Arabidopsis thaliana: one gene and its partner. The protein of the gene in region 2 interacts with the protein of the main gene of each other region in a pairwise test. Each region holds a gene or a part of one and is shown on either strand. Other genes may lie near its edges.

Region 1 (7,886 bases), on a different chromosome or scaffold from region 2:
ATCTTTGTGAGGTTAGAAACAATGATAACGCAGCAGGTCCTAGCCTGTCTTCTAATGATATAGAGGATGTCAATAGTTTATCACGCCTTGCATTAGCAGAAGCCCTTGCTACGGCATTGAGCCAGGCTGCCGAAGCTGTTTCTTCGGGAAATTCAGATGCAAGTGATGCCAGTAAGTGCATAGGAGGTGTTAATTTAGCTATGATACTTTGGATGTCCATATGTTGTGGACTTGCATAAATTCCTAAATTTTGCCCTTTGACATGCTTTATATAGCTGCAAAAGCTGGAATCATTTTGTTGCCCAGCACACATCAACTTGACGAAGAGGTTACTGAGGAACATAGTGAGGAGGAAATGACTGAAGAGGAACCAACTCTTCTCAAGTGGCCAAATAAGCCCGGGATTCCAGATTCTGATTTGTTTGACCGTGATCAATCGTGGTTTGATGGACCTCCAGAGGGCTTCAATCTCACAGTAAGTCTCTTATGCATTTAAATATACTCACCCATTAGGAATGCGTTGAAATAAACTCACTGGTCCTCTTCCTTCCTCAGTTATCAAATTTCGCTGTGATGTGGGATTCACTGTTTGGCTGGGTATCATCGTCCTCTCTGGCATACATATATGGGAAGGAAGAATCTGCTCATGAGGAGTTCTTATTGGTTAACGGGAAGGAGTACCCCCGGAGGATTATCATGGTAGATGGGCTTTCCTCAGAGATCAAGCAGACAATTGCTGGGTGCCTTGCCAGAGCTTTACCGAGAGTCGTCACTCATCTCAGGCTGCCAATAGCGATATCCGAGTTAGAAAAGGGACTGGTACGTTTCCAATATTTTTTCTTCTCATTAGTCTGTTATCGTCGGTCTACTTATAAACCAAATAGCCCATCCTAGTCAAATTAGTGATTGGTCCCGTCTATCTTTGTAAAATGTAGCAAGTACTCCTAGAACGAAACCTTAGTATATAAGTATGGAATCATATTTGAAATTATAAACTCTTTAAAAGTTCCTCATGAGAATCTTGTCTCAAACTTACGCTGGGAAGCTTATATATAGTTTCTCAGTGATATTGGTTGTGTTTTGTTGTTGAGCAGGGAAGCTTGTTGGAGACAATGTCGTTGACAGGAGCAGTTCCATCATTTAGGGTAAAAGAATGGCTAGTGATTGTTCTTCTTTTCTTGGATGCGTTGTCTGTATCACGTATCCCTCGGATTGCACCTTATATATCCAACAGAGACAAGGTTTGTTCCAGTCAACTTGAACATAATAAATGGCGAACTCTAACTGAATTTAATCTGTTGATAAATGTTGGTGAAAAATATCAGATTTTGGAAGGAAGTGGAATTGGAAATGAAGAGTATGAGACAATGAAGGATATCCTGTTACCACTTGGCCGTGTTCCTCAGTTTGCTACCCGAAGCGGGGCGTAGACAAAACCCGGGTTTAAGGTTTATTGGTAGAAGAAAGAAATCAACTTAAGATATATGAAAATAGAGGAGTCTATAATTTTGAAGCCATTGTTTTGAATGTATGAAAGATCTTGAAGTCATGCTTGGCTTGCTTTTTACTTGGAACAAAGATTTGTCGCATTTCGATATATGATAAATGGGTCAGAGACGTTGAGTTGTTCCTTTTATGAAATTTCTTATAAGTTAGTAAGTTAATGAGTTTGAATTGAAATGTCAAATTTTCTTTGACTAAGACATGTTTTCGTCTAAGATTTTGATTCTAGACTGTGTGTTTCTATGCATGCGAGAAGAAATTTATGATTGACTAAGTAATATCTTAATCCGTACCTTTTGTCGAAAAAAAATAGTAATAATTCCTAGCCAGAATCTCTTGTTTGTTATATAATACTTGTTTCAACATTTAATTCACATCTACTAGTGTTTATAAATGAAATGTACATGGAATAAAATAAAGAATTGTCACCATAATGTTTTTTCCTAACTATAAATTAAATGTAGTAGGGATAAAATCCAATAATTGGGGATGAATTATTGAGATAGGTTACTACTTTAGATAGGGAGGGTCTCTCACCTCACCTTATAATAAAAAAAGTGGTCGTTGATTATTTTCTTTTTTGTTTCCTCTCCGACACGTTTGACCCAACGGCCCATTTTCAGCTTCTGGTCTCCTTCGTATATTCTTTAGGTATACAAATTTTAAAAGTCAAAATTACCCTCACTTATTCTTCTTCTAAATAAATTCCTATACTAATTAGATGTTTTTAACTACAAGAAAAATTCAAAGAAACATATGGTGGTTTTAATGTACCAATCACATTAAAATAATGGGTTTGATTGGTAACAATTTTAAAAAACTGTACAAAATTTTCTAAAACATACAGTTTTAATATTTACCGATCACAAAAACTTTATTAAAAACGTTACAAACAGTTTTATTCTCAATTTATTTTACTAATTTTTCGTACAGCTAAAGTTTACAGCTCCAACTAACAGCTAAAACACTTTTAGTTACCAATAATCCTAATAAATAAGTTCTTTATGCATTATTTTCTATGACCCTTATCTCTTTTGGTTTGTTGTGTTGGGAAGAAAATATAAAAGTTTGAATGGTCAAATCTCAAAAAGAGGACAAAAACTAAAACCAATGTAACTTTACTAACTTCGACGAGTCCCATTATTTTTTCTTTTTCACTTTCAAAGAAATTATCCATTTGCCTATCAATGATTTAATTTTTTTTCCCCACCCTACCAAAAAAAAAAAATGATTTAATTTTTTTTCTTTTACAATATAGTAATAATAAAATTGTCTTCACGAGAAGCCAGCTATATAGAGAGAGATGATTATAGACGAATCACAAAATAATATAAAGTAAAAATATTTCATAATTCGTCTCTCACCGGAAAAATAAATAAAGTTAGAGAGAGAGATTCATAATCATCAAACCCACAAATCCTTTTTTTTTTTTTTGTTAAAACCCACAAATCCTTACTCGTACGGATCTCTCTCTCTTTAATATCCTAATTCTTCTCTTCATCGATCTGAGATTTTTACGTTTTCATCGGTACGTCTTAAAGATCTCTCTCTTTCTTCATCCCTTCTTCTGGGTTTTAGCTTCAGATCTGCTTCACCATGAATTTTAATTTAACCCATCATTTTAAAATCGACAGATTCTCTCTTCTCTACCAAACTCTAATTTGGTTTTAATGTTTGGGTCTTTTAAATTTTGCAACTTTTTTTGGGCTTATCATTATTTTTTTTGTTCCCGTTAAAAAAAAACTTTCCTTTTCGTAATTTTAGTGTTCTAAATTGTTTTTTACTTATTTGAAGTGTTCAATTGTTAAGCTTGAAAGAATTGTGTTTTGTTCCTTTATTGAAATTGAATTTGTGTGTTTTGTTATTAGTAAAGCAACAAACTTTACTCATTGGATTTTAATCTCTGTTGTTATTTGTTGCAGGCTTGAAAGTTTGAAGAGTTTTGTAGCCTGAAAAATGGCGTCAGTGGGTATAGCTCCTAATCCTGGAGCAAGAGACTCTACTGGTGTTGATAAATTGCCTGAAGAAATGAATGACATGAAAATTCGTGACGATAAAGTATGTTTCCATGCGTTGTAGTATAGTTTTTGGTATGTATTTCATGAGAATCTAAATAATGGATTGTGGTTTGTTAGGAAATGGAAGCGACAGTGGTAGATGGAAATGGAACAGAGACTGGACATATCATTGTGACTACTATTGGTGGTAGAAATGGCCAACCAAAACAGGTTTTTGATTCTTCTTCTTTGCAAAAAACTGTTCTTTTAATCTTCTTAAGTTAGTTGATTGGTTAGTGTTTCGTGTTTTTATTAATTTTTCTACAATGTCAATGCAGACAATTAGCTACATGGCTGAGCGTGTTGTTGGTCACGGATCTTTTGGTGTTGTGTTCCAAGTGAGTTTTTGTTAGCTTATCATCTCTCACGTTTTACATCATGTATCTATCAATTGACTGAATTGGATTCCTCTGTATTTTCTTATGTGATTTAGGCGAAATGTCTTGAGACAGGAGAAACTGTTGCGATAAAGAAAGTTTTACAAGATAGGAGGTACAAGAACCGTGAGCTTCAAACCATGAGGCTACTTGACCATCCTAATGTTGTGTCTCTGAAACATTGTTTCTTCTCAACCACTGAAAAAGATGAGCTTTACCTCAATCTTGTTCTTGAGTACGTTCCAGAAACTGTTCATCGTGTTATCAAACACTACAACAAACTGAATCAGAGAATGCCTCTTATATACGTCAAACTTTACACTTATCAGGTATCAATTATTACATTTCTGTTAGATTTAGAGTTATGTTTTGGATCTCTTATCGGATTTCTCTATGTTTGGCAGATTTTTAGAGCCTTATCTTACATTCACCGATGCATTGGTGTGTGTCATCGTGACATAAAACCTCAAAACTTGTTGGTATGTACAAGTTAAATAAACAGGAGCTCACAGTATACCCGGGAATATACTTTTCTTCATTGTCTAATGCTACTTTTTTCACCTGTAATGGAACAGGTAAATCCGCACACTCATCAAGTAAAGCTATGTGATTTTGGAAGTGCAAAAGTATTGGTGAGTTTGATAAACCTCTTCCGGGTACTTTGTTTCTTGGAAAAAGTTAGATTCAATCTTGTTGATCATTGTAATATCTGAAAACAGGTAAAAGGAGAACCAAACATTTCCTACATCTGCTCGAGGTATTACAGAGCACCTGAACTTATTTTTGGAGCAACCGAGTATACGACAGCCATTGATGTCTGGTCTGCAGGATGTGTTCTAGCTGAACTATTGCTTGGACAGGTAATGCATTAAATCTTATTCAAACATTTTTGTTCTACTTAACCTGGAATTTTGTGATTGACAAACTCTATTCTCTGCTCATGACAGCCCTTGTTCCCTGGTGAGAGCGGTGTTGATCAACTTGTAGAGATTATCAAGGTATAAGCTTTGCACTTGTTCACTTTGATAACAAGTTCTTGTTTTCAATAATACTGAGAGAAGATTTGATGTAATGTTTTTTGTTATGCTTTGGGGTAGGTCTTGGGAACGCCTACTAGAGAAGAAATCAAGTGCATGAACCCAAACTACACGGAATTCAAATTCCCTCAGATTAAAGCTCATCCATGGCACAAGGTAGAAATAAACTTATATTCATCAAATCAACTTGTCAATGTGTTATTCAGTAGCAGTTACAGTCAATGTGACAATATCTACTCGTCATAATATATTCACAGATTTTCCACAAACGCATGCCTCCAGAAGCTGTTGATTTGGTCTCAAGACTTCTTCAATACTCTCCTAATCTACGAAGTGCCGCTGTGAGTATTACTTACAAATTCAACATTCTTCTGTGAATCTTCTCGATGGTCCTTTCATTTCCTATTTTTCTTTTGTCTGACTTGCTTTTACTTGAATCGTAAACCTGATCACAGCTCGACACATTAGTCCACCCATTCTTTGATGAGTTAAGAGACCCAAACGCACGTCTACCTAATGGACGTTTCCTTCCACCGCTTTTCAACTTCAAGCCTCACGGTACAACATCTCCCTTTCCTAATGGTGTTTATCTCCAACTTACCTGTAAAATCATCAAAGTTTTACCTTACTAAAGCTATACCTGTAATTGTTGTGAAACAGAGCTGAAAGGTGTACCATTGGAGATGGTAGCTAAGTTAGTACCTGAGCATGCAAGGAAGCAGTGTCCTTGGCTCGGTTTGTGATTTCCTCTTAATGTAGCATGAACACAACAAACACTTCTTATAAATTACCTCTCTATGTATCAATATGTCACAAACTGATATGCACCCTTTGTTTGTTGTATGAGTAGAGAAAAAAAGAGTTATTACTATGGTTGGTTGGTTCATAATGTAAAAGCCCACCAAGATTTTTTATCTAGATAAAGAGTTTGCTACTTCTGCTTTTGTATCTTCTTCTTCCTCTGCAACATCATCAAACAAAGACCCTAAAAGTCACTGTAGCAAATACAAGTATCCTCACGCGCCTAAAACTAATAAAAGCCAAAACTTTTTGATTCTACGAGTCGTCGTCGTCATCGCCGGAAGATGCCGTCGGGGAAATATTACTGTGATTATTGCGAGAAAGAGTTTCAAGACACTCAAGTCGCTAGAAAACGCCATCTTCAAAGCAAACCTCATCTTCGAGCTAAAGCCCTTTGGTACAGTTCTTCTTCCTCAGGTATCTCTCTTCTCTCTTTTTTCTCTCTGTTTCTTAAAGGAACGATTTTTAACATCTCTGTTTCTTTTAATACGAAATTCTTAGATCTTGTTAATCCACAAGTCTCCAATTTTGCGACGAAAGGTCTCTGCAATCGATTCATTACCTCGGTACGTCGGATTGATTTTGTTTCGCTATGTTCATCATTCCTAGCAATCTCTGGATGTGTAAAGTCTTGTCCTTTTCGTTTATATTCTGGTGGAATCACACATTTTACATTGCTTTGTTTGATTCTGCAAAAAAATTCATTGCATATGTGTGTATGTATGTAATCTTCCAAGTAAAGTCTGTTCCTTTCTTAATGGGTTTTGCAGAATTTTTGCCCATTTGGAGATTCTTGCAGATACTTCCATCCTAACAACAATACAGGAAGCACAGGTTAGGTCAAAACCTGTTGATTTTTGACTTCAGTGATTTGGTCTCTTTTAGGCTACTTAAAGCTTTAAAGAAGTCTCTACTATGCGCAAGATTTGCTTAAAACATCATCCTCTTGTTGAATTCAAATGCAGGATTCACAAATAATACACAACTTCGTGTTGACATGCTTAACCAACAACACATCCAAGGAAGTACTTTAAACCGTATGCGTTCTTGTTTTTTCGTCATTCAAGTTCTCTAATATTTAAGCATTTATAGAAAATCTGATGTTGGAAGTTTGAATTGTCTAAAACAGGTGATTTTGTTAGTGGGAGACCAGGAACAGGTTGGTTTGATCTTCCGCCATCGCTAAAACCGCCTCCTGAGCAAGGCTATCCTCAGCTTCCCTTCATAGACTGGGGATAGATATAAATTCTCTGAATAATGCTCAGTTTCAACATTGATGATTCTACTTGAAAGGAAAAGACTAATCTTTGTCTCGTTGTGCTCTGCCATTACCAAGCTTTTAGCCACAAGCTTGTCTCTTTTCAGACTCGAGGTTGGAAGAATGTCAACCAAATTGTCGTCTTGTTACTCAATTTGTCGTCAACTTTAGAGACATTGTTCGGAGTTTGGACATGGCAAATTTGCAATTTAACATACTGTGCGATATTCTGATAAAATTCTTTAAATTTCGTTGGCTCGTCCCTATTCATTGCGTGATGATAGGATATCGCTAATTCGCTATCCGCTTCCTGGCCATGTGCTAAACAAGACTTCCCAAGCCAAACTATCAAAATATTTGACAAAGTTGGAGCAATTCCTAAGGCTGTAGATTAATTACAAAGTTGGAACAATTTTTTCCCTAGAAAATACATTATTGAGAAACAGAGTATAAGTTGGCTAAAAGAAAAATCAGATTGTTCAGAATCAAATATTTAAATTATTAACTTCATTTTCATTTCTTCAACTCCATAAAATAGAACTAATTTTAAACTCTTTATTGTTGAGAGAAATATCTTCGAATCTCCTAAGAGTAATTTAGTCGAGCATGTTGGTTTGAGTTTATAAAAGATAGGTTATGATTTATTAGTTAATATTTCAAATTTATATATTGGTTTTTAGGTTTATAATGGAGGGTTTTAGTTTATTTTTTATTTTAATTATGAACAAAGTAAATAGTTTGAGTTTATAAAGAAGAGTTTGATTAGCGTATTATAATTACTTATATGTCGGTTTAGGTTTAAGATTTTATAATTAAAGATTATATTTCTGTTAGGGTTTTAGGGTTTCAGGGT
Region 2 (6,262 bases):
ATCAAAAACTTATTTCATCATCTAAAGACAGTACTTCCTGCCATATATATATATCAATCATAGGTAACAAAATAGTAAACGAACCTGTTGGATCGACATCTTTTGCGAGCTTAATTGCATCTGATGTGGCAATGTCTTGGTTGGCAGGAGATATAGCCAATATGATACAATTGGGCTGCAAACAAACAGAAATTAAGCTATTGGTACTACTAAAAAAGTTAACCATCTGCAACTAGAACTTGAGCATATAGTTTAAAAGTCGTATAAGGTTTTTGCATTTTTAAAAAAAAATGAAAGATCTAGCAATTCTCACCTTATCAACATATGTGCGAACCATGGATTCGATATCCTCAGCAATGGTTTCCGGCTGTCCCTCTGGAAATCAGAGGCAGTATCAATAACTACATATACGGTCATCAAATAATAAAGAAATGGAAACCCAAAGAAGAGGTCAAAAGAAACATACCAACAGCCACTTTAGTTAAACCGGGCAAATCAATGAGTGTCAAATTCACAACTGTTTCCATAAAAAAGAGCAAACATCAATGTTAAATCAACAAACAAGAATGTTACAGGAATCAGACTGAGATTATTAAAGATACCATTTGGAGAGTAGATACTGAGGTGAATAGGAACTGGAGATATCTGTTTGTTTTTCCCTGTGATTCTATCAGTCTCATCCTGAATCTCCCTGCGAACCAAAGCTGAAACATCGAAGAATTTTCAAGCAAAAATTCAATGAACACTTTCAACTAAAACACACTTGAAGCAGAACAAACATACATTGATATACATAACATAGATAGACATAAATGTTAAGGTACATACCAAAATCTGTGAATTGCTTCTTGGGAAGATGAAGGAACTCTGCATACTCCTCTGTTCCATCATCAGTCTTATGAAGCTGCAACACTAAAGGCCGTCTCGTAACGATACCTGCACAAACAATACTTCTTCCTCAAAACCAAAGCTCCTCCTTGCTTTATATACAAACATAAGAGAAAAGGGAAAATTTTCACAAACCAGATCCTCTAGGAAGAAAATCTCTCCCAACTATACTCTCAAGAACCGAAGATTTCCCAGAACTCTGCACAAACCCAAAAAAAAAGTAAGTTGAAGAGTCACCAGAGAGAAAACCTAGGAAGAAGTCAAAGATATTTCAACCGGAGAAATCACCTGACCACCGACGACGGCGACGGTTGGAAGAGCTTCCCAGAGAGAATTGAAAGCGTTACTTCCAGTTCCACCACCATAGTCACCGAGTACGGTACATGCTCTCTGTATCCTATTAACTAACCCAATCAAACTCTCCATAGTCGTCATCTTCCTTCTCCTTCAGTTTCAGATGAGAGAATATAAAGTTCCAAAGACGAAATTTTCAGTTCAGAATTAGAAAGCTGCTTGAAAATTCGCCAACAGACCAAAGACTTCAAGAGCTGAGAGAGAGAGACGAAGAAGAAAAATATTCGTAGGGGCAAAATAGGAAAATGAATTTAGAGAATAAATGTCTCTCTTTGATTTCTAGAAGGTTTGATTTGTGTGCCTGTGGCTGTGTGGTTCGGTCGGTTTACAGATAGCTTAGCCGCCGTTAAGGAGTCGTCTGGCTCTGGTTCGTTTTGGTTCGGTACGGTCTGGTTCTTACTTTTCTAGACGGTCAAATCTAAAATAATGAAGATAAGATTTGTGTCCCTTTAATTTGAGATATTTGTAACCTGTTTGAATTTTCGAATTTTGAAATTCCACATGGACCCCTCACACAAATACAAAATAATAAGTCTAGAAACAACAATCAACATTGTTTAGAAGGCCCAATAGATATAGAAGACTTTTAAAAGGACCCAATAATAAAGTTAGGTCCAGGAAGAGGGTAGGAGGCTATATGTATACAAGCGGTTCTCTAGTTTTTATGGGTTTTGTGTTATCCAGTCTGAATTATTTTAGATTTTATTTTAGAAATCACAAACATAAAATAATATTTCTAGAAAATTTTGAATTTCTTAGTACTTGGTAAATAATGAATCATTCTTCACAATAAACATAGACATAAACACAAAAACAATGAGTTTCTCTCAACATCATGATTTAGTTATCAACCAAACCAAACTAAATGACTGAAATAACCAAACTAACATAACATATTCAAACTAAGAAGAAGCAAAAACTAAGTATAGGTTGTCGTTATTTATTACATCATTGATTATCACATGACAGGCCCAATAGACAAGGAGACTTTAGGAAGGCTTTAAAAGCCCAATAATGAAGTTAAGGCCTATTGATGAAATATGAAAACCACGTGGCAATATGTAGAAGAAACGGACGAACATTCGTGTGAGATATGTGGAAAACGACGATGGCTCGTCTTCACCTAATACTTGTCGGCTTTTACCATCCAACGTCACATGCTTCTCTTTTAGGTTTTTTATTTATTTATACAGTTATATCATTGTTTCAAGTCAGTGGCTGAGGTAATCACTACACATCCCATTCAAATCCAATGGTATTGGTCCGTATATTGAATTAAAGAAAGGTCAACCATAACTAGATTTTATCTTCTACAACTATGAAACTATAATGGCGCGTTAGATCAATTTTTTGTAAGTTGGCAAAATTACGAACCAAAAATTGCAATTGAATCACTAACCATCGCATAATTAAATTTTGCATTAAAGAAATGGTTAGTGATAAAATGATCTGTCAAAATGTTGTGCTTACAAATCTCCATTAGATAAATAAATTAGTTTCTCTCTCTCATCTATCTTTTTTTTTGGTTTTCCGACATAGAATGCTATCTCTCTCTCTCTAAGCCTATCTCAAAACAGAGATCTTAGGAGAAGAAGACAAAATCTTTACCACCAGATCTTTTCTTCTTCCTTCATCTTTACAGGTTGTCACATCACTATAACCACCGAAACTCTCGGCCCAACCCAAAAAAAAAAAAGCTTCCTTTCGAAAAAAATCAAAGCTTTTTCTTTTATCTTCAATTCTCCTCCGATGAGGTGTAAAAGACACACCGTCGATCTCAGCAGCAGCAACGGCGTTTGCGCTTCTTGCCTCCGTGAACGTCTCCTCTCTCTCGCCGCTTCCGCCGCCGTATCAGCCGCCGTAGAAGATAATCAATCAAAGAAATCTAATAACAATAATCATCCTCCGCTTTTGATTTTCCCTCGCTCTGTTTCTCCTTACGTTACCCGTAGAAAATCCGACGCCGGAGCCGGTGGAGGAGATCCTTTAGTTTCTTCTAATCGGAGATTCATTACCACGCCACAGATAGATCTCGTCGGATATTCATGCAAAGATTTCGAATCGAATCGATCAAATAAATCAAAACAAGGTAAAAAAGTATCTAGATTCTCGAATCTATTCAGAGCTAGATCTGAAGATTTCGATACCAATCCCAAATCCAACAATCCTAGATTCTCCTCATGCGACGCGTCTGAGATTTCATCTTCTTCTTCCTCTTCACGTTCATGGATCTCGACGATTCTCTCCACCGGTCGACGTAAAAAGCAACCAACCACCGCGTGTTACATCGAAGACGTTATCGCTGCGCGTAGACCTCAACGTATATACTGTAGAGGAATGTCACCTGTAAGAGATACGGAACCGGAGCAGTCGGCGGAATCAATCGAGGAATTGAGGAGAACTCCGGCGACGAAAACTCCGGGAAGGAGGAAGATTGCGATGGGGATAGGGAAGAGCATGTCGGGGATGGCTTTTTGTTTGAGTCCGTTGGTGAGAGCTAGTCCTAACTGTCCGTTTAAACGGAAAATGAGATTTCCATCGGAGTTTGGTAATTCTGGGGAGGTAACGGCGGTGCCGGAAAAGCCTCATATATCAGCAGCGGCGTCGTTTTGTGCAAATAGATCGAAGAAGCTTGTGGATTTAGGTAGAGTTGATCGCCGCCGTTGAGTTTTTTTATTTTGGTGGGATTAGTCTTTGGTCAACGTGTTTGACTATTGGATAGTAAACTACGGCTTTCTGAAGATGGATTTTGCCAAAATCAAGCTTTTTATATGGCTTGTGGTGAATAATCTCTATGGGAAATAGCTCAAACAATACTTTTGTTATAAAAAATTGTAATGTTTTCTGATTGTAATTGTAGAGTTTGAATGGCCAAATATATTGTTCTTAGGAGATTAAGAGAAATAATGTAGTGTGTTCTTGTTTTTTTACTTATGAGAATTACTTACCGATTATTAGGACAAGAAATCAAGATAAAACCGGATCGATTGATTGGTAGAACCGTGGAACCTGATCAAACCGGATCTAAATTCCAAAAAAATTGGACAAAATCAGTATGGGTTCGTATAGCGGTAAGATCCTATATGAACCGTGCCAATAATACCGAATCAGGTTAGTCAATCTATATGTGCTGAAGTATTAATTCAAATGTATTATGTCATATAGTCAAAGACTCAAATGTCATTACACTAAGCATTACGGTTTTGAGTAGTAGTAGTAGTAATGCGGGTGCTTAGATTTTGAAATTTGACCCATGAATTTCTGGCTATAAATAATAAGAGTGCGACAGTTTTGACTTATTTTTTGTCATCACCTTGGAAAAGTTTATCTTGGGTTTCACAGTCCTTCTTCTCTAGTCCACTTCAACACATAGACCTACAAAGCTATATTGGAATCGCTTATGACACAAGTATCAAAATATCTTTTATCGACTTTTAATAAAAATCCAAGTACGACATAGAGTGCTTTCAATTCAACTTTATAAAAGTTGTCTAATAACTCGAAAGAGTTTAAATGAAGAGGGTCCACGGGGTTCATCTCCATGGGTCCGTGAATCTCCTTTACGCTCTGGTAAAATAATTCGTTTTTAAGAAATCAAGTAAAGATCAAATCCTTGAAAAAATTGAATGGGATCGGTCTTGTTCACCAGCTAAGCTATGAACATAAGGCTTATGAGAAATTTGCAAATAAAACGATTTCTGTTTGAGAGAACATTGTTGACTTTAACAATTTCGGTTTCCGATCAATCTCCACTTTGAGCTCTTTCATGAAACTCAAACAACAGAACATATGCTGCTGTCACTGAAATTACAAGAAAACCAGAAACTCTTTGGTAGATGATATCATTGAATGCACAACTTCGATGCTACTTTTCACTGGACGATAGCTAACAAGTCGCTTTCTTTGCAAAAGCAATGCTTAGCATCTTCTGTTCCAAAATCAACCTGAAGAAATCAAAAGAGATGTCTCAGTTTCACAAGTATGATCAAAGTCATCAAGTATGGTCTCAATGTTCCATCATAATCATCAAATACAAACCTCATAGGCGCTCATATCAGAGAACAAAACCTGCAAAAGATACAAGAGCATGAACAAATGAATGAAGAAGGAGATTATACAGTTACTTCATCGTGTTTTTAGTTAAAAGATGAAACATACCTTCTTGCCAGGTTCCACTTCCCCAACCTCAGACCCAACAGAGACAACCTGAAATCCTCAACTCCATATCAATTGTTCCTTCTAAGTCTTAATAACATCCAATTAAAGAGCAAAGGACAGACGAGAGAGCCTTACCTCGCCTGTTAGGTACCTCTCGAATTTCACAGCTGATTTAGGCAACAGTACTCCTCCTGAGGATTTCTGCACAAGCACAAAAGCATTGTCACAACTCACAATCAACATTAGAACTCACAACTAGTATTGTAACAACATGATACATTGACCAAGACTCATGATTCGTCTACAGAAACCGCAGCGCCACGAGCAGAGAAACTAAACTTTGTAATCTTAAGTGTTCTAAATTGTTTCCCTTTTTGTGTGTGTTTCTTTTCTCTTCTAACAAAACAGAAACGATCTCAAGACTTCAGTGAATAAGGGAAACTAACTACATTTCAACAGCAACATTGTTGGAAAAGAAAGCTAAGGAATCACCGGAAAATGGCAAATATACTCTAGTCGTCGTGAGGGGGATCGATTGAAAATGTAAAAAGAAGAAAGCTAAGAGACAGAACCTCAGGAAGCACTTCAAGGCGGACAAGGACCCTGTCTGCTTGTGGTACAACCTGCAAAACCCATTGCAACAAATAAAAATGAAATGATCTCCTGATTAAAACAAAATCACCACCAAAAATAAAAGGAGACGAAGAAAAAAAAAACTAAAAGGTCGTACCTTTGCCGGTTCCCATTTGGTGGAAACGGCGTTAATTCTAAAGGAATTTCTTCGAATTCCTATAGAAATCCGTAAACAAGAAAGGAATCAATGATGGGGAAGACACAGACAAAAGAGAAGCTAATCCAGAAA

The links. Proteins that work in one complex are often made in the same cells at the same time.
Region 1: the proteins of AT3G60200 (region 2) and SK 11 interact in a two-hybrid assay, tested with the Arabidopsis thaliana proteins (one large-scale study listed by BioGRID).

The regions. Positions count from the first base shown.
Region 1 is NC_003076.8:9,397,413-9,405,298, reverse strand, and holds SK 11 (shaggy-related kinase 11), read left to right. Parts: upstream 1-2,822; 5' UTR 2,823-3,031; intron 3,032-3,425; 5' UTR 3,426-3,459; coding exon 3,460-3,561; intron 3,562-3,638; coding exon 3,639-3,731; intron 3,732-3,838; coding exon 3,839-3,898; intron 3,899-3,993; coding exon 3,994-4,266; intron 4,267-4,341; coding exon 4,342-4,416; intron 4,417-4,512; coding exon 4,513-4,569; intron 4,570-4,656; coding exon 4,657-4,797; intron 4,798-4,884; coding exon 4,885-4,935; intron 4,936-5,034; coding exon 5,035-5,130; intron 5,131-5,231; coding exon 5,232-5,315; intron 5,316-5,429; coding exon 5,430-5,532; intron 5,533-5,634; coding exon 5,635-5,717; 3' UTR 5,718-5,922; downstream 5,923-7,886. Other genes in the region: AT5G26760 (RNA polymerase II subunit B1 CTD phosphatase RPAP2-like protein), read left to right, coding at 1-171, 276-475, 556-819, 1,095-1,241, 1,326-1,430; AT5G26749 (C2H2 and C2HC zinc fingers superfamily protein), read left to right, coding at 6,060-6,192, 6,277-6,398, 6,546-6,609, 6,741-6,812, 6,905-7,014.
Region 2 is NC_003074.8:22,246,329-22,252,590, forward strand, and holds AT3G60200 (uncharacterized protein), read left to right. Parts: upstream 1-2,563; 5' UTR 2,564-2,991; coding exon 2,992-3,909; 3' UTR 3,910-4,240; downstream 4,241-6,262. Other genes in the region: DL1E (DYNAMIN-like 1E), read right to left, coding at 85-175, 314-375, 467-517, 603-704, 829-936, 1,024-1,087, 1,177-1,323; AT3G60210 (GroES-like family protein), read right to left, coding at 5,115-5,186, 5,281-5,310, 5,401-5,448, 5,536-5,601, 5,973-6,023, 6,131-6,189.